2 linked regions of the Caenorhabditis elegans genome follow. Each later gene encodes a partner of the first gene's protein in a complex. Each region holds a gene or a part of one and is shown on either strand. Other genes may lie near its edges. A codon is read from its position in the direction of its gene.

Region 1 (5,143 bases):
TTTTGTCTGTAGAAAAAAGGTGTCCAAACATGTGTGTGTGGGGGGGGGGGGGGCCCAGAGGTGTCTAATTGTCTATTGTATCCGTGTCTCGGGTACCAGCAACCATAATTACCACCACCATCGAGACCCCCCAAAGTGACGCAAAAGGAAATAATTTCGGCTCTTGACATGATGTTCAACAATTCAAAAGAAATTTTTGGTGTTTTTTCGCCAATAGTTTTTCGAGAAAAACAAATTGCCAAAAAACACGCAATTTTTTGGGAGTTAATGAGGCTTCTCCAACAAAAAAGAAGAAAAAACTGTTTTCGAGGAAATGCAACGAGTTTTTGGATTCAGAAGATAATAGATTCAGTTTTTCGGTGAAAATTTTGTAGAATTTCTCACGAATTTTTGGCTTCCCTCATAAAATGAAATGGAAGAGTTTTTGCCGAACTAGGTCATTTTGGCTCAGTAGATTTACGGCGCGTTGCGTGTCGCGTCGCGGCTCGATTTTAGTTGTAAAACTAAATGCACTTGTCCGTGTGGAGTACACGACTATCCCAGTCCGGCGGGCGATTGTCAATGGAGCGCGAAAAATTCAATGAGGAAGGCCAGAACCCCATGGCGGAAAGCCAAGAATTTTTGGATTTGGAAGACAATAAATTCAGTTTTTTAGTGGAAATTTTGTATTATTTCTGCTTTTTGGGGAAGAAAATTGTAGGAAGAATAAAAAATTAATACGGTTTTTTTTCTACAAAAATGGAGAAAAGCCCTAAAAATTCTTGAAATTGGGTAAAAATTTGAATTTTTTTTTTTTGGAATTTCTGCTTTTTTGGGGAAGAAATTGTTGGAAAAATGATTTTTAATAGGATTTTAAAGCAATTTTTTGCAAATTTCGACGATTTTTGATTCAAATTGAAGAATAAGCTCAAAAATACACAATTTTCCATATTTTTCAATAAAGCTTTCGATTTTAGGGTGTTTTTTCGCTTTTTTTAAATAATTTTTGGTGTAAATTCTTAAATTCCAAAAATATAGAGGCTCTCGAACCCTTTAAAAATTCAAAATACATAATTTTTCCCATTTCTTAGGCAATTTCTGGGCAAAATATTGAAATTGCAACTTTTAAAAGTATTTCTAATGCCTAGACTACATAATTTTTCTAATAAAATAGGGGGAATTGTCATAAAAAGGATTTTAAAGCGATTTTTCGTCGATTTTTGGGGGAAATCTTGAAATTTCAACTTTATAAGGTATTTATAACATATTCGAGGCCTAATATTCACCTTTGTTTTCAGATTTTTCAGTGAAAACTTCCAATTAAAGCCGATTTTTTGCCAATTTCGGTAATTTTTCGTTCAGAAGTATTTAACTTGTTAACTCTAAAATACAATTTTAAGTCGATTTTTGTCGATTTTCGCCAATTTTTATGTGTTTTAATTCAAATTTTTTCAATTTTCCAAGTAAAAAATCACCATAAATAGAGGCATAAACATGGGTAAAGCAGCTGCCGAGTATCCAGGACTGAAGTGTGACATTAAACCGGGAAACGATGGTGACATTGGTTCGACTTTTGGAAATGCACTTTTTAACACTGAAAATTTGATAATTATTCGGTTAGAATGGTTAAAAAAGAGCCAAATTTTTGATTTTCAACCGATTTTTTGGCAAATTTCACAATTTTTAGTCAAAATTCTTTAAAATCCAATTTTATAGGGTTAAAGATTTCATTTTTCCAGATTTTTTCATGAAAACTCCGATTTTAAAGAGATTTTTCGGTAATTTTCACAATTTTTAGTTAAAATTCTTCAAAACTCAATTTTATAGGGTTAATTATCTCATTTTTCCTTCAAAATTTCGATTTTTGAAAGCGATTTTTCGCAAATTTTCACAATTTTCAGTTAAAAATATTTTAAAATTCAACTTTTATAGTGATATCCGAGTTCAAAACCTCTCATTTTTTAGATTTTTCAATTGAAAATTCGATTTTAAAGCGATTTTTCGTAAAATTTTAAAAGGAATTTCTAGCACCTCTAAAGGCCTGAAATACATAATTTTTTAGATTTTTCCATTCACAGATCTCAAAAAAGGTCAATTTTTGGCGCCAAGTTCAAATTTCTCAGATCAATTTTGAATATTATCCAATTCTTAATCCTTTCGCACCCCTATACAGTCTATTGAGCACACACAGACGGACCAACTTGTTCAAGTACTCACGACGGATTAGCACACAAGATAACGGACCGAGATAGTATGGGATTCGGAGAGACGCAGATGGTGTTCGAACACCGTTGCGTAACATCCTTTTACGTCATTATGTCATTGCGTAAGGCCCGGGACCATCAGGTCAATTCTTAGGGGTGTTTTGAAATTAGCATGGATTTTTTTAATAGAAAATAGTGAAAACCGGAAAAAAAATTGGTTAAAAATGAGTAAATTTCATTTATAAAGTGTTAGAAATACTTTAAAATATAAAAAATGGCGAAAAATCGCTTTAAAATTGGTTGAAATTCAAAATAACACTGAAAATACTCAAATTTGTCAAAAAAAAATATTTTAGCGATTTTTAATTAATTTAAATTCCCGCGCTTTTGTCTCGATTTTGAACTCCGCCCATAAAACCGTGCCGCACTTTTGCACTTTTTAATTTCAACGTAAAGTCCAATTTTTGGGTTGTTTTTCTAGCTTTTAATGAATTTTTCGGCGATTTTTAAAACCTTTTTCTCCATTTAAAAACTGAAAAAAAACCCCCAAAATATGGATTTACGCTGAATTTGAAAAAAAAACAAAGTGCGGCACGGTTCTATGGGCGGAGTTTAGACAAAAAATGCGGGAATTTAAATAAGGTTTTTTTTTCAAATTTAATGATTTTTTTCTCTTTTTTTGGGATCAGTCTTAGCATTTAAAGTTTTTATTTAAATTATTTAAATTTAAATTTATATGTATTTTTTTAATATTTAATGTCCCTTTTTCCTGCAGAAATTTAGAAATTTAGAAGAATTTTCAAATATTTTTTTTGTGTAATAAAGTCGAAAGGCAATTGAGGTGGTCCATAAAATTTTGTGTGATAGCTGGCCACCTTCCCCTTTCGATCAAATTTATTGGAAAACTCACCATCAATCGATGGATTTCGACCGGCACCGTCTAATTCTGCTTCCATTACAGCTTCTTTTTTATCATCGGCTAACTGTTGTTCTGACGTTTCACCACTAATCATTGGATCATCGTCAGCATCCTCATCCCGACGGAACACCTTCACCTCATCGCCGAGCTCTTCGTCGGCCATCATTTTTGTGTATTTTTATATCTGGAAATTTAGAGCATTTTTTAACGATTTTAATGGGAAATTGACGGAAAAATGGAGGGAAAAGAAGCACGGAACCATTTAAAACAAGAAAAAAGGGGGACTAGGTCCGCGGAAGTTAGGCCATGGAGAGGGGAAAGACGCGGGAAATTTGAATTCGATAGGATTTTGGGGAGAAAGTGGAGGTTTAGACTTCTAAAATTGGAAAATGTTGAATTTTTATTGAATTAGAGATAAATTTTGACGACAAAATCGAAATTTTAGATGAAAAACTCAAGAAAAATCAGCAAAAACGGTGAAATTTGTTTTAATTTTAATTTAAAAAATACTTTTGTCCACCGTAACTTTTAAAGGCGCATGCCGCTTATTTTGGTGTGGGTCTCGACACGAATTTCGAACAAAATTACTTTTCTTTGCTTAAAAATGTCGAATTTGAGCTGTTTCGTTGAAAAAATAATTTGAAACGAGGAAATTTCGATGTGAAATATCTAGAAATTGATCGAAAACTTCGAAATTTGTTCAAAATTAAATTTTCAAGTATTTTTGTCTACCGTAACCTTTAAAGGCGCGTGCCATGTATTTCAATGTGGGTACCACCGCGAATAACAATATTTTTCGGCTTATTAATTTGTAATTTGAGTTTTTAAAAATAAAATCATAAATTTTAAACAAGGGAATTCCGAACAAAAAGGAGAAAATCATCAAAAATCTTTAAATTTGTTTAAAATTCGCATTTTTCGACATTTTTGTAAATATACCGTAGTCTTTAAAGGCGCATGCCATGTTTTTTGGCATGGGTGACACCACGATCAGACTTTAAATACCTTAAAATTACCTATTTTTGACGTAGAAAATTACTTTTTTGCTTATAAATCCGAAACGCGGGAATTTTAAATTAAAGAGCAGGAATCGATACGGTGAACAAAACACATCTGTCATTGGCAACAGATGGCCTAGCCGAAAACTAGGCCGCTACTCGCTCTACAAAATTCAAAAAGAATGACGGGAAAAAAAAGCGAAAAATGTTCGAATGAAGAAGTTCCTCCAATTATAAAATGCAAATAAACGTAGAACCCAGCAGGAGGTAGGAGGGAGGATAGTGGAACGAGGAAAACGAGGCGAAAAGGATCCATAAAATTCAAATAAATGACGGACCGGGGGACGTGAGAAGAAGGGGGGAAGAAGACAAGAGGCGGTTGGTGGTGGTGTATGCGCGCGCTGTCGGTAGTGCACCATGGCCCCCCGCTACACCAATTTCTCTGCGTCTCTCGCTTTCATCGCTCATCAAGGGGCCGCCCATGCTAAATGGTGTGTGAGAAGGCCCTGTGTGTGTGCGCAGGTGGCCGACAATAATAGCTGTAGAAGAGGTTAAAAGAGAGCATGGAACTTGAAGAGAGTGGAGGTTGAGTGAGAAAAAATAAAAATCAGATTGTCCTGAAAAAAACCATTTAAAAATTGATAAGAAGTGATTTTTGTGGGCATCGGTAATCGGTAACCCGGGGCGTCAATATATATTTTTTATCGAAGTGTTCATTTTCTTCGTTGTAACTCACCGGGAAAACCGTGAGAATTGGCGGAGAGATAGAGACACAGCGTGTTTTCATCTTTTTTTCTTTTTTCTAATTCTCCTTTCACTGTGAATGTGACCCCAGTCAGATAAAAGAGAAAACGGAAGGAGACAAATGGCAAAGACTATCCTAAATTAGAGGGAACACACCCTTTTTGGTAGCGAAATTGGTTGAAAATCAATAAAAATTAATAATTAATTCGAATTTTCCGAGAGGAGTACACGTTGCTTGAAGGGTACGGTATTTTTTTAAAATTTTTTAATAAATTTCTGAATAAAATCGATTTTTTTTT
Region 2 (7,123 bases), 7.2 Mb from region 1:
CCCACTTGTAATTCTAGTACTACCTTATGGTCCCTTATGTCACATTGTTTGACAAAGTATATTTGTATAGGTTTCATGTGTATTGCTTGTTTTTTTGTACGGTTTTCTCAGAGAAATTATATTATTTTTTAACTCATAGTAATTAATTTTAGGCGAGATACCGAAAATTCGCAATGTCATCAGTTGCATCTATTTTTGCACCTGTTTTTCGAAATTTTTGAATCGTAGTGATATTTAGTAGAGCCAACTAATAAAACTCGTAGAACGACGTTGCCAGCTGTCCAATGACATTCGGTGTCCATTTCGTTGAAAACATTCAGTTTTCTTTCGAATTGATGATTGAAATCTTGTTTACACATTATTATTATTATTATACAACTCTGTTGACAATTCAACTTACACCCAATTACCATCTCAACTACTGAATAATTACACTTAAACCTATTCAATCACGGAGATACCATCTTCTAGAAGACTTCAGTTGGTGACAACCGTGGGAGGATAAGGTGCAATCCACGTGTCATGCTGCGAAACAATTAGTCTCTAATTAAGAAACTGTGCCCTTTTATTCCATGTTTTTTGTTCTAAATTAAATACAGTAGTTTGTTTCTTGCAAAAATCTACTAGTTTAAAGAGAGGAGGCGCGTTAATGCGCAAGGGTCTCGCCACGCGAAACCCATTTTGTGTATGCACCTTTAAGTTTACGGTAATTTCGTGTTCGCAGTTTCTTTTTTTCCGTGTTTCTTCTTGCACATTTCCATATTTAGCTAACAGAAGTTTTCGTATTTCAACAAAAATTTTAGAAATCTCATTTTGAAAATGAAACATGTCTTAAGCATTAACGATCACCAATAAAACATCAAGTTGTATGGGTTTCCAGGGAATTTTTCAATTTTTTCATTATTTCGAACAAAAAAATTGCATATTCGTTGATTGATATGTTCCTTATTCATTATGCCTATTAAATCAAATTATTCCAATCGAGAATTTGAATTCGTTTTTGAATATTTCTTTAAACATCTTTCCAGGCATGATGTATTACATAATAAAATAGAAAGTAGGTTGTTATTTAGGTTGGTAGGATAGTAGGCCACCACCAGCTCATCTCCTTCACCCATTTTTCACCCCGTACATCACCATTCTCTGCGTCTCATTCAATCACACACAACATCACTTACCAATCTGCGTCTCGTTATTCTTCCTACTATTTATTTGTCTGACCCTCGACAAGTGTCCCATACAGTCTGTCTACGGTTGCCTTCGTTCTCTCTCTCTTCTACATTCATCCGCATGCGTACACCCTCTCTGGTTAGACAGTGAGAGAGCACGTGTATAGTGCTCAAAAAGAGGAGAGTGCAGGCCGTGCGACGGTTGGAAAATGGTGGGTAACGAAAGAATTCAAATGTTGAGACGATTCTGCAGGAAAACGGCCCATTTTTTGATGTTTTCTCTTCCGTTTTCCCGCCTACTTTTAGTTTTTTATTCTTATTTTCCTATTTTTCATAATCCGCAATCATCATATCACCTTTAAAATATAAAAATCACATTTTGAATTATCGATTTTTCAGGCAGACTGTCATCTGGAAAACTGAGTGCACCGGACCTGAATGCATTCAACCGGAGAGCCTCAACGAGGGCCCGCCGGCCCATATCATCATCCGATGCCATATCATGTTGATCAGGTAAGCTTGAAAAACTTCAAAGAAGCGTTTTGCTTCAAAATATCCAAAATTGTCTTAAATTCAGAAAAATCACAAAAAAACAACGAAAAAAAGCGAAAAAGAATGAAAAGACAAGCTTCTAAAATTGCAATTTTCATCTTTTGCCATTTTGGGGGAAATTCAAACAGAGAATTCTGCCAAAATTGAAAATCGCGCTTTTAAAAGTTGAATTTTTCATCCTTTCTGCGATTTTTTTTTCAGTTTTCTTTGTAGTTTTTCGGAAATGAAGACTTAATTCTTATTTTCAGATTCCAACAACATCTCATCCTTCATGGCATCAAGCTCCCCATCCTGGCCTTCCAACACCTCCATATCATCCTCAACAACATCCTAACTATATCTCAATGCAACCTCCTCCTTCCCAACAGCAACAGATGACTCCTCAAGCATTGTCGACGCAACAACAGCAGCAGGTTCAACAACAACAGCAGAGGTGAGTACTATAAGAAAGATTATTATCTAAAGAGACACACCTCATATTGATTGGTGGCTGCGCCCCCCGTCCGTCCGTGGTGTGACAGGCGATATTAGAAAGTTGGGAGACGACGGAAGTGGGAGAGTAAAAACGAGGCTAACGAGCGTTTTCTTGATGGGTGGTGGTTGTACAAGAAAAATGACTGTTTTTTTTTTCGATTTCAATGCCAAATTTCTTTTCCGAGTGCTATTGACATTCGATTTTTAGATTAATTTTAAATGTTATCTGGTAAAAAGTAGATTTTTTGCCTAAATATCACGATAGTAGGTCTTGAAGCGATCAATTAAAAAAAAAGGTGCGCGCCTCTAAGGAGTACTGTAGTTTCCAAATCTTCGTAATTGAAGGATTTCTTTCAAAACTTCTTACACTCAAAATAATAAAACTGCGTGGCGTGTACTGCAGAAAACCTAATATTTAGGCCCCGCCTTTTAATCGTCCACTCACGGGGAAAAGACAAAAATAGGGGAGGGGGGGACAGCTCGCCACGCCAACAGTGAGAAAAATAGTGTGGTGCGCGGACCTCGAATGATGTCGGCGGCTGATATTGCCTGGGGTACCGCTTTTTGCGTTTTCCCCGTGAGTGGACGATTAAAAGGCGGGGCCTAAATATTAGGTTTTCTGCAGTACACGCCACGCAGTTTTATTATTTTGAGTGTAGGTTCTCATCTGTTTCTTTAAATTTGCACCTTTGAGGATTACTGTATTTTCGAACTTCCTTCGCTGCGGAATTTCATAGATTTTTCACACTTTTTTAATAAAATATATAATTATTCACTAAAAACCTAAAATAAAACAATAAAAACATATACATTCGTGAAAAAACCATGAAAAATCGATGGTAAATCTGCGTCAACGAACGTTTAAAATTACTGTACTCCTTAAAGGCGCACGCCTTTTTGCAACAAAAAATAACAACATTTTGCAGATTGGTTTTATAATTAATTTAATAAAATATGATATACCTAAAAACTTTCTATGTTTTATTTCAGGCAACTATACTCGTCACCGTCACCTTCACGAGGTCCAGCGGCTCCCGCACAGAATCAAAAATTTCGGACAGAACAATGGATCAACAATCAAGCATGGCCATATTCTCAATCTCCTGCTCCACCAGTTGCTCCATCAGTTATGTCATATCATCAAGGAGACGATCGAATGTCAATGCTCAGTGTGAATACAACCATGACAAATCAATTTCCCGATTCTCAGCGATGCTACTCATCAAATGGTTCAACATGTGAAAATGTGAATCCTGAAATGATGCAAATGAATATAACACAAGCGGCTGAACAAGCAATTAGGGTTTGTAATTGAAAAATCAATAATGAATCTTGATAAAGTTCAATTTCAGCTATGGTTTAATACACCAGATCCCATGCAAAGACTTCATATGGCAAAAACAATACGAACTTGGATACGACAAGATAAATTTGCACAAGTTGATCAGGCAAATATGCCGGTGAGTTTTCCAAAAATGTTGGAATTCTTTTTACAAAATCTGTAATTTTTTTCAGAACTGCGTACAACAAATCCTTAACATAATTTACGATGGTCTGAAACCTCAACCAGTTCAACTTCCAATTTCATATTATGTAAGTCTCAACACAAATTACAGATTTCAAATCATATTTTTTCAGGCTCAACTCTGGTATAATCTGTTGGATATTCTTCGAAGATTCACATTTCTACCCATTATTTCACCATATATTCATCAAGTTGTTCAAATGTTTTGTCCTCGAGAGAATGGTCCACAAGATTTTCGAGAATTGATTTGCAATTTGATTTCGTTAAATTGGCAAAAAGATCCTCACATGAAACACTGCGCAAATCAGGTGTTTCAAATTTTCAACTGTATCATAATGGGAGTGAAAAACGAGAAATTGAGAACAGAATTCGCTCAACATTTGAAATTCGAAAAACTCGTTGGCACTCTCTCCGAGTACTTTAATCCTCAAGTACACCCGGGAATGATAAATCCAGCAATTTTCATCATTTTTCGATTTATTATTAGCAAGGATACTCGATTGAAAGATTACTTCATATGGAACAATAATCCACATGATCAACCTCCTCCGCCAACAGGATTAATTATAAAATTGAATGCTGTAATGATCGGATCGTATCGATTGATTGCAGGCCAAAATCCTGAAACATTACCTCAAAATCCAGAATTGTAAGTTTAAAAATGAAAAATTCCTCCATCACTAACAAGTTATATTAATTTTCCAGAGCTCATCTTATCCAAGTTATAATCCGAACATTTGATCTTCTGGGTCTTCTCCTTCATGATTCCGATGCAATTGATGGATTCGTACGGTCTGATGGAGTTGGAGCAATTACTACTGTAGTACAGTATCCAAACAATGATTTGATAAGAGCTGGATGTAAGCTCTTACTTCAGGTCTCTGATGCAAAAGCCTTGGCGAAGACTCCATTGGAGAATATATTACCATTCGTAAGTTTTACGTTTAGAAAATCACTGGACTATTAGAAAATTATTTATGTGTTCTTTTACTTTAAAAAATTATACTAGATGCCCCAAACCTATCTAATTCCATAGTGATACTTCACTTTTGTAAGAAGTTTCATTATTAAATTCGGTCGTTTCAGGCTAGTTTTAGTCTATTCAAATTAAAAAAAAACTTCTCTCCCTTCAAATAAACTGTTTAAAACCGGAAATTTTCAGTTACTGAGACTCATCGAAATTCATCCGGATGATGAAGTTATCTATAGTGGAACAGGATTTCTGAGTAACGTAGTGGCTCATAAACAACACGTAAAAGATATTGCTATACGATCCAATGCAATTTTCCTACTTCACACGATAATCTCAAAGTATCCACGACTAGATGAACTTACCGATGCTCCGAAAAGAAATCGAGTTTGTGAAATTATTTGCAATTGTCTGCGTACATTGAACAATTTCCTGATGATGTGGATTCCAACGCCCAATGGAGAAACGAAAACGGCTGGACCGAATGAAAAGCAGCAGGTCTGCAAATTCATCGAAATTGTACGTTTTGGAATTTGAAAAACGATATAAAAATGAATTAAATTATTTCAGGATATTCTGAAAAAACTGATGAGTTGTTTATCATGTGAAGGAATGGATACACCTGGTTTATTGGAACTTCGAAGTACAATTCTCCGATCTTTTATACTGTTACTCCGAACACCATTTGTTCCAAAAGACGGTGTTCTGAATGTTATTGATGAAAATCGGAAGGAAAATTTAATAGGACACATTTGTGCCGCCTATTCATGGGTTTTTCGTCAACCGAACAATACAAGAACTCAATCCACAAAGCAGCAACTTGTTGAACGTACCATAAGTTTATTGCTTGTGCTCATGGAGCAATGTGGAGCTGAAAAAGAGGTGGCACAGTACTCGTATTCAATTGATTGCCCATTAAATCTGCTGAACGGAAATCAAGTGAAACCAACGTTTATTCACAATGTGCTTGTTGTATGTGACAAGATTTTGGAGCACTGCCCGACGCGTGCGGATATTTGGACGATTGACAGGCCGATGTTGGAAGGACTGACGAATCATAGAAATTCAGATATAGGTATGTGTCTCGAAAATGTGTTCATAAATTAAATTACAATGCATTTTTTCAGCTAAAGCCGCGAATTCTCTGCTGAGTCGCTTCCCTGAAAACGACCTTCTTGCTGGTATTTTTTCAAATCGAGAATATTTCTGATTTAATGGATAAATCTGTCAACTCCATCTTTCATCCCAAAAATCCCCGTTCAAAGCCATTAATTCGTCTAGTTGGAAGCTGTTTTAGCGTGTACATAGTCGTATTATTGATTAAAATATGTTCTCTCTTCTTTTCTTCATTTTCTACCGGTCCCAAATTTCCTCATTCTTGACGATTTCATATGAATTCGAGTTTAGAACAAACAAAACGTTCCGATTTTCCTAATTTATAGCACATTTCTTCTCATTTTGCCCTCGGTTTATCTCTTTCTTTTTGTTGTTTCTTTGTTTACGTCTGTAGCATAATATTTTTGAATACAAAACATTTTCGCGATTATCTTTGCATTTTAACTATCAAATTCCTGTCTTATATACGTCTTTCTTCGATGTTCTTACGTTGAATAGAAAATAAAATTATAAAACTTTTTAAATGTTGGATTGATTTACTGAATACTCGGTTCATATATAAGTTATTTAGAGACTATTCTCGTTCTGTAAAATTAACCTGAAATTGTGGAATTGTGATTAAATAATAAATTATTATTTAAATCTCCGCGCAAATGCCCACTGGCGCAAGTGGCGAGTGCTGACGCATCTCCCGTGCACGCGAAACGCGCCAGTAAGGTCTTGCAACGATTTTCTTATGTTCCACTTCCACTTAAATTTATTTCAGCTAAATATTGACCCATTAGCTGTTTTTTGAATTGTTTTCAAAGGGAAAATCGTTTTATTCATTTTAAATTTTAAATAATATTGGAATTTCTGTCTAATTGTGTATCTACTGCTTGTTTGCTTCTTGTTTTGGGATTTCATAATGTCAATTTTGTTTCAGCAATGTCTCGCTTCTTCCATGCTAAGGAGGACTCTGATTCCGACACTTCGTCCAGCGAGGATGAGGTAGAGGATCAAAAAGTGAACAAAAGCGCGAAATTTCGGTAATTATAATCTCCAAAGTAATTCCAAAAGATTGATTAATCTTTCAGCGATGATCTCGATTTCATGGCCGGTCCTGAAGAAGATGAGAAGCGTGTTGTTCGTGCCCAAAAGGACAAAAAATTCGATGAGCTGAAAGGAATTATCAAGCAAAATCGAGATGCAAAGAGCAACAAAGATCTGAACAGACTTCTAACAGGTTTTGATTCTCTGGCCAAAGCTTATGATAAGTCCAAGACGGTCTTTCAACGTCAGAATGTCGCAAATCCAAGATTTTACATAAGGTGAGAT

Evidence for each region.
Region 2: the proteins of pop-1 (region 1) and sys-1 are in contact, whole or in part, in a crystal structure (PDB 3C2G), measured with the Caenorhabditis elegans proteins. Residues at the interface, in NP_491053.4 of Caenorhabditis elegans: Gly8 (codon at 3,247), Asp9 (codon at 3,244), Glu10 (codon at 3,241), Val11 (codon at 3,238), Lys12 (codon at 3,235), Val13 (codon at 3,232), Phe14 (codon at 3,229), Arg15 (codon at 3,226); in NP_492639.1 of Caenorhabditis elegans: Leu450 (codon at 4,478), His451 (codon at 4,481), Ser453 (codon at 4,487), Ile456 (codon at 4,496), Leu488 (codon at 4,592), Gln489 (codon at 4,595), Ser491 (codon at 4,601), Asp492 (codon at 4,604), Tyr522 (codon at 4,925), Gly526 (codon at 4,937), Ser529 (codon at 4,946), Asn530 (codon at 4,949), Val532 (codon at 4,955), Ala533 (codon at 4,958), His534 (codon at 4,961), Lys539 (codon at 4,976), Asn579 (codon at 5,096), Arg582 (codon at 5,105), Asn586 (codon at 5,117), Glu638 (codon at 5,324), Arg645 (codon at 5,345).

The regions. Positions count from the first base shown.
Region 1 is NC_003279.8:2,827,026-2,832,168, forward strand, and holds the start of pop-1 (Protein pop-1), read right to left. Parts: upstream 3,287-5,143; 5' UTR 3,269-3,286; coding exon 3,094-3,268; intron 1,574-3,093; coding exon 1,455-1,573; intron 49-1,454; exon of another isoform or gene 1-48. UniProt on the Caenorhabditis elegans protein: Transcription factor. Part of the Wnt signaling asymmetry pathway. Binds to the consensus sequence, 5'-(C/T)TTTG(A/T)(A/T)(G/C)-3'.
Region 2 is NC_003279.8:9,979,271-9,986,393, reverse strand, and holds sys-1 (Beta-catenin homolog sys-1), read left to right. Parts: upstream 1-1,599; 5' UTR 1,600-1,607; coding exon 1,608-1,682; intron 1,683-1,969; coding exon 1,970-2,154; intron 2,155-3,185; coding exon 3,186-3,498; intron 3,499-3,536; coding exon of another isoform or gene 3,537-3,547; coding exon 3,548-3,655; intron 3,656-3,710; coding exon 3,711-3,788; intron 3,789-3,833; coding exon 3,834-4,369; intron 4,370-4,425; coding exon 4,426-4,651; intron 4,652-4,882; coding exon 4,883-5,209; intron 5,210-5,260; coding exon 5,261-5,765; intron 5,766-5,817; coding exon 5,818-5,900; 3' UTR 5,901-6,331; downstream 6,332-7,123. Other genes in the region: eif-3.C (Eukaryotic translation initiation factor 3 subunit C), read left to right, coding at 6,734-6,834, 6,883-7,116. UniProt on the Caenorhabditis elegans protein: Transcription coregulator. Part of the Wnt signaling asymmetry pathway, probably acting downstream of putative frizzled ligand mom-2, Wnt/frizzled receptors lin-17 and mom-5, and dishevelled homolog dsh-2.